2 linked regions of the Danio rerio genome follow. The protein of the gene in region 2 interacts with the protein of the main gene of each other region in a biochemical or structural test. Links are inferred from orthologs where the notes say so. Each region holds a gene or a part of one and is shown on either strand. Other genes may lie near its edges.

Evidence for each region. The genes of interacting proteins can lie anywhere in the genome.
Region 1: the proteins of ptpn1 (region 2) and ntrk2a form a complex in vitro, tested with the Homo sapiens proteins (2 studies listed by BioGRID, with this or other methods). The link is inferred for Danio rerio from reciprocal best matches to the Homo sapiens genes PTPN1 and NTRK2.

The regions. Positions count from the first base shown.
Region 1 is NC_133183.1:59,551,861-59,555,998, reverse strand, and holds the start of ntrk2a (BDNF/NT-3 growth factors receptor precursor), read right to left. Parts: upstream 2,931-4,138; 5' UTR 2,661-2,930; coding exon 2,470-2,660; intron 1-2,469. UniProt on the Homo sapiens protein: Receptor tyrosine kinase involved in the development and the maturation of the central and the peripheral nervous systems through regulation of neuron survival, proliferation, migration, differentiation, and synapse formation and plasticity.
Region 2 is NC_133183.1:30,336,774-30,340,429, reverse strand, and holds part of ptpn1 (tyrosine-protein phosphatase non-receptor type 1), read right to left. Parts: intron 2,717-3,656; coding exon 2,579-2,716; intron 2,305-2,578; coding exon 2,095-2,304; intron 36-2,094; coding exon 1-35. UniProt on the Homo sapiens protein: Tyrosine-protein phosphatase which acts as a regulator of endoplasmic reticulum unfolded protein response. Mediates dephosphorylation of EIF2AK3/PERK; inactivating the protein kinase activity of EIF2AK3/PERK.

The DNA.
Region 1 (4,138 bases), about 29 Mb from region 2:
TGCTCCTGATTAGCCAGTCCGGGCCTAATTTACAGTGTTTTATTACTGTTTTGTTCTTTACAGTAACAGCATTTCAGTTTTCAGCCACAGTTTGATGTCATGAATTCAACATTCTGGATCCAGTTCTTTGCAAAAAGGCAAATTTGACAGCCCAAATAGAAAGACAACAAACGGCATGGGCTACAAGGACAAGCAAAGATGCACTGATTCACACTGAGTTCTGCATTTTGTTGTCTATTGATTAAAAGAGCTCATATACTTGTTTGCAAGTTGTGTTGTTTGAAAGTAAAATTAGCTTTTGTTGCATATTTTACAGTTTTTTTATGATTGCTTACACACTAAAGTTTAACTTTTGCCACAACAACCAAAACCGTACACTCAAGGAGCAAAGCACAAGGCTAGATCAGCTTAGATTGCAAATCACTAAACACGCTTGTTTGCATTTGACACAGAAATTTTTCATGATGAAATTTCCTTGCAATTTCAAAGCAAAGACTGATGCCAATTGGTTAAGCACAGCCATCAGATGTGCAGGCACACTGGTGCAAAACTGTAGACACACCAATCAGCTGGAACCACAATAAAAGGCAATGGCTATAAACTATTAGTCTTCATTAATTACGTTTACAGTAGCATAGCTATAAACTATTAGTCTACAATAAATATGTTTACAGTAGCATAGCTATAAACTATTAGTCTTCATTAATTACGTTTACAGTAGCATAGCTATAAACTATTAGTCTACAATAAATATGTTTACAGTAGCATAGCTATAAACTATTAGTCTTCAATAAATACGTTTACAGTAGCATAACTATAAACTATTAGTCTTCATTAATTACGTTTACAGCAGCATAGCTATAAACTATTAGTCTACAATAAATACGTTTACAGTAGCATAGCTATAAACTATCAGTCTTTAATAAATACGTTTACAGTAGCATAGCTATAAACTATCAGTCTTTAATAAATACGTTTACAGTAGCATAGCTATAAACTATCAGTCTTTAATAAATACGTTTACAGTAGCATAGCTATAAACTATCAGTCTTTAATACGTTTACAGTAGCATAGCTATAAACTATTAGTCTTTAATAAATACGTTTACAGTAGCATAGCTATGAACTATTAGTCTTCAATAAATACGTTTACAGTAGCATAGCTATAAACTATTAGTCTACAATAAATACGCTTACAGTAGCATAGCTATAAACTATTAGTCTTTAATAAATATGTTTACAGTAGCATAGCTATAAACTATCAGTCTTTAATAAATACGTTTACAGTAGCATAACTATAAACTATAAGTCTACAATAAATACGTTTACAGTAGCATAGCTATAAACTATTAGTCTTCAATAAATACGTTTACAGTAGCATAGCTATAAACTATCAGTCTTCAATAAATACGTTTACAGTAGCATAGCTATAAACTATTACTATTCATTAAATGCGTTTACAGTAGCAAAGCTATAAACTATTAGTCTTGATTAATCATTTACAGTGTAGCGATATAATGAATATAGGGATTCAGTACTGTATATAAAATCAACAAAGGCATAACAGTAAAAAGCAAAGCTTGTGCATCCTAGAGGATAATATTTAGATCATTTTAGAGTTGATTTGTTTTTTTTATATCAAATGGTGTCAGCGTTTAATTTATTTAAGTGTTTACAGTGTATCCAAATTACTGAAAATATGGATCCAGTGCTGTATATAAAATCAACAAAGGCATAACAATAAAGAACAAAGCTTGTGTATCATAGGGAATAATATTTAGATAATTTTAGAGTTGATTTGTGTTTTTAATCTCAAATTGTGTCAGTGTTTAATTCATTTAAGTGTTTACAGTGTATCCGAATAACTGAAAATATGGATTCAGTACTGTATATAAAATCAACAAAGGCATAACAATAAAGAACAAAGCTTGTGCATCATAGGGAATAATATTTAGACAATTTTAGAGTTGATTTGTATATTTTTATCTCAAATGGTGTCAGTGTTTAATTCATTTAAGTGTTTACAGTGTATCCGAATTACTGAAAATATGGATTCAGTACTGTATATAAAATCAACAAAGGCATAACTGTGAAAAACAAAACTTTTACCATTTTTACATTAAAAGTTATTTTAAAAATATAATAAAATAAATAAAGTGCTAATTGCAAAAAACAGAGTCTTGTGCAATAAGCAGGGTGTTTTTCTGAACATTTTGCTACTGGTTTTATTGTATAATTTCGTTGAATTGTTTAATTGGTCTTTTTTATCGATTAAGCCTTGTGCAACATAAAGGACACATAATTATACCTATCTGAGATATTTTTGGCTCAAACTATAGCAGGGGCAAATAATTTAATTGGTTTGAAATCGAATTTCTAATGAATGTCAAACTTTACCGCGGTTAAAAAACCGGAGTAAATCCAATGTATCGCTTTTGTTTCAGTGTATATGACCCCCAGCATGACTTACATGTCAGTGACGTTCTCCATGTCCGCCTCGGACTCCAGCTTGGGGAAAGCCATAATACTGCGCTCCGCGTCCACGCAGGAGATCCGCAAACCCGTGCACGTGCAGAGCTCCGGACAAGCGGTCGCGGGCCTCCAGAGCGCGAGCAGCATCACCGCCCAACCGAACCCGCAGCCCGTCATGCCGAAGCTCATCCCCGGGTCCTCACCTCCAGATTTAACGACCCCCGAAAAAAACCCGGAGTCTGGAGACGCGCAGAGCCGGAGCAGAAAAAGCAACAGCGAGTGACCGTATATTCCTACAGAACGAATGCCCGAGATGCTGCGCTGAATGACGCTCGGATGCGGACTGAAGACGCGCTCTGGAGACGCGCTGGATGATGCGCGCGTCTGAGGGGAGGAGACCAGCAGGACACATCAATCAATCCTTCACTCACTCACACGCGTTATTGACCGCCTGACAACATCCTTACACTGATCAAGGCTTTCTTTATAGTGTATCAGTGCTGTGAGGATGCTTTTTTGAGAATCTCGTGGTTACTAATTAGCACTGATCATGTGGTTTAGGTAGAGTTGTTGTTGTGTTTGCTGCTTCGTGAGGTGAACGGTTATTTGAATGCATGTATATGGAGGAATGAGTTGCGCTCGTTGTTTTTCTGTGTGTGTTTGTGTGGAACTGACTCACTCGTCGTCGGAGAATAACGTTCAGGTTCAAAGGCAGAAAAATTGACTACAGCTAAAATGACGCGAAATGGTTCCCTTTGGGATGTTTTTATTTATTTATTTATTTATTTATTTATTTATTTATTTATTAAACTAATTAATAAATTTAATAAATTTTGTTTTATGAAGATGATGATAGCTTATGATAACCTAATTTTAATTATTATTTATTTATACTCTGTTCTGAAATTTATAATTCATTCATTCATTTTCTTTTTGGCTTAGTCCCTTTATTAATCTGGGGTTGCCACAGCGGAATGAACTGGTAACTTATCAAGCATATGTTTTATGCAGCCCTTCCAGCTGCAACCCATCTCTGGAAACCATCCATTTACACTCATTCACACTCTTACACTACGTACAATTTTAGCCTACCCAATTTACCTGTACCGCATGTCTTTGGACAGTGGGGGAAACCGCACCCGGAGGAAACCCTTGTGAATGCGGAGAGAACATGCAAACTCCACACAGAAATGCCAACTGACCCAGCCGAGGCTCGAACCAGCGACCTTCTTGCTGTGAGGCGACAGCACTACCTACTGTGTCATTGCGTCGCCAAAAATTATAATAATTATTATTATTATTACTTATCATTATAATAATTATTATATGTTAATAGTATTATTACTTATTAATATTATCATCATTATTATTACTTATATATATAAGTATTAAACTAATAATAATAGTATTAATAATGTTAATATTATTATCTAAAAGTGCTATAACCTAATATTATTAATATTATTATTATTTATATGTATTACATATTATTTTTATTATTATTATCATCATTGATCTTAATATTATTATTACTTCTAAGTGTTATTTTTTATTATCATTATTATTACTTATCTGTATTAGTACTTATTATTATTATTATTAATGTTAATATTATTGTTACCTATAAGTGTTAGAACTTAATATTATTAATATTATTATTATTTATG
Region 2 (3,656 bases):
ATGCGTACAGATGATGGATCTTTCCTCTGAGACATCTGACAAAACACAATAACAGTTGTTTAGAGAATATTAGAGAAGTACAAACTTTCCACTAAGCTCTAAACAAAGGAAAGAGCAAATCCGCCTACACTGGACTGACTGTCTAATGAATTACATACGAGATGTAAAGACGTGCAGCAAGAGGCTCAGGATACTACTGTTAAACATACGAAAAATGATCAAGCATTTTTTTCATTCCATTTTTATTTATTTATTGAAATTTGTAAACTGAATACTTAAAGGCTGCAACATTTATTTATTTTAAAGAGCCTTATGACTCACACAGTTCATTTCAAAAACAGAATCATTTATAAACAAAACATCAGTGTTGCTAGGAGATGCACAAAAGCTCTGCTCCCACTTTGTTAGAAAGTGTTTTCATTGTCATAATCAAAAACAGACAGACTGCCTTACAATGTACCCCAATAGGTACTTATAGTTTGTTGAACTGTAGTAAATTATATATCACATTTCCGAATTATAATATTCAGGGAGAAAAGCATTTTAGTTGAGTAATTTTACTACATCACATCACTTCTAGCGAGGTCTAATGCAGGGATATAATTTGCTTAATTAAATTGTAGACTCAATGGTATGTTTTTATTTTATTTCTGTAAATGACATTTTCAGTGTGCACATTATTAAAACTATTACAAATTTAGCGTAAACAATAAATCTCATGCACACCTGTGTAGAAAAACCATAATCACTTCTGTGTAAATTATATTTTTGTTTTTGTTTGTTTTATTTTTTTAATTTTAATTACAAAAAATAGCATAGAGTGCTGTGGTACTAATAAAAATGAACAGAGAGGAAAAAAGGCAGTGTAGAACACAAAGGTATTCGGATATTCGGCCACCGAGCGCATTTAGGATGTTCTCACACTAGGCTATCCAAACCATGCCCAGGCACATTTGACAAGTGGGAGTGCTCCAAGCCAGGCTAAGGCACGGTTCAGTTGGCCGGCCCGAGCCCGGTTGGAAGAGGTGAGTCAGAGCGCAGTTCAGTTGGGCTTTGGTGCGGTCCGTTAGTAGTTTGAGTGCAAAGCGCACCCGAGCACAAAACTGAAGACCCGACATCACTTTTAAGGGACTGTTTTACATGGATTTAGCAATCATTCTAACTGTTCAGTTAATGTGAACTGTCACAGTTTATTAAAGATAAAAAAAACCCGCTGCATGACAGCTGCCACCTTCAGCAGACCTCCTAATACCTGCAGCACAATGACTTTCATGAACATTGAGTGTCAAATGTGTTCAGCAAATAATCCGACTGTGTGTCACTGCATATCAAAAGACTTAAAATAATACTAAATAATATAACTAAACCAATCTCTGTTGTACCAAGCGATAGCACTTCCCTTCTGTTAAACTGAACAGTTAAATCATCGATGATGTAAGGCTCGGAAGGCAAAAAATGCAAGTGTCTAGTGTGAGTACACCCTTTAACAGAAACTTGCAGTGTATGATTTAAGGGTTAATTAATTGATTGGTCTACTGCTTTAGAACAGACACTGTTAAGTGGCTGCTGCATGTAAAAGCAGATTTTTTTCTTCATTTGACCTGCCACTGTCTAAAAAATTTGGCTCATCATGTGAGCAGTGCTTCAAAAGATTGAGTTGCAATCGTAACAGTTATGCACCTCCTTCAAAGGAAATATACATTGAAAAACAATGGAAAAGTAGCTCACTGTAATGGAAAAACACATTCTGGTGACTGAGCGCTATCAATGAGATGATTCTTAAAAGACATTTTTTAAATTGAACCACTATTCTATGTAATACACTGATTTATAAAAATGCCAATAGCCTAGTGGTTTGTGCTTCAACACATGGCACTCTGGTGCTCACGGTGACTTGAGTTAGATTCCCATCTCAAGGTCCTAAGACAATCCTTCCCCTCTCACTGCTCCCCACACTTTTTATAAAATAAAGGTGAAAACTATGCGAGTTGAAGTCGTAATGGACATGCATCTCTATCAAGTTTAATTTCATTAGGGAAAAAAAAAACATTGGAAGAGTACAGAATTGAAATGGAAAAAATTCCGTTATCTCACCAATAGAAGGCAGGTGTCTACAAGGCAGAATGTCCCAGAGCGGCCGATGCCAGCGCTGCAGTGGACCACCACAGGACCAAGCTCTGGACTCAGACAGCCCGACTCACGCACTTTAAACAGGAAGTTAAGAAAAGAAGCAGGAGACTCCGGAACGCCAAAATCTGGCCATGTGGTGTAGTGGAAATGAAGAATCTCCCGGGTTTCCTGTGTCTTTAAACACACACACACACACACACACGACATAGCATTAATCAAGATGAGTGTGTTTGTCAGAATCGAGCCTCTGGCAACTGTAATATCCTGAGAGTATTGAGTCAAGGCAACAACCTGACCAGCATTAAAGAAGCTCTGAAAAACTAAAATGTCAGCTAAATGGAGAGAAGAGGGATTGCAGAGAGTCTCGGCATAGAATGATCGGTGACAGAGATTGACAGATGAGCGAAAGCAGGACTGAATGAGATCAGGGGAAGATCAAGAGCCTCACCGACAGATTTTCCAGCTCCAGCTGTCGTACTGTGTAGTACGATTTCACGTCCTCTGAGATCAGAGTAAGTCTGAAGTTTGTGTCCTCAAAAACAGCCTCCCGCTCCTCTCGCTGAGGCCAATACTGAGCACACTTCACCTGAACACAGACATACATACACTTCTTCATTACAACAACACAACATTAGCCTCACACACAAACACATCAATCCCAAATGCAAGCTAAAAGTGATCGAGTGGGAATTTGTAAATTAATGTTACAGATTAGGGAATGTTATTTTTTTTTAGCCCACATTATTGATCTTATTCTTCACGTACAAGTGGGAGCAGCCATTGGTATCTAGAGCAAGTAGTTTTCTGCAGTTTATTATTCCCAGTCATTTCTCCTACATTCAATTTCAATTTCAATTCAAAGAACTTTATTTGTCCCCTAGGGGCAATTCAAGACATATGGAGCAGCACCAAAAGAAAACAATATCATTAACACACAAAACACAACGTACAAATAGATAAATGACAATAACAACATTAAATACTGACAAATATATGAATTAAAAATTTCTAAAATGCATCCTGAAATGTGTTACAGTTTGAGAGTTACGTTTTGGAGTTTAAAAGCAGAATGGCTTTAGGAACAAAAGTGACTCTCCTTTTTTGAGTTCTACACACATTGCAACGAAACCGTCTTACAGAGGGGGCAGCTCAAATGCTGAATGGAGAATATGTGAGAGGTCCTTAATAATCCTTCTTGCTAACCTAAGAGTCTGTTGATCACATATGCCTGAAAGAGACAGGCAATCCAACAGGCAATCCAATAATCCTAGAACACACTGTAACAACACTTTGTAGCCGATTTCTATTCTGTAAATTAATAGAATGAAATAAACAAGAAATGGAAAATGTGATATTCTCTATGAAAGAATAATACAACAAAATGTCTTTACAGACTCCAAAGGAACGGAGTTTCCTAAGGGGATACTGCCTCTGTTGGCACCCCTCAAGAATCTCCAGTGTTAGAATTGAATTTCAGCTGGCAGTCGAAAATTGTACCCAAGTATTTATACTCCACAACTAGCTCC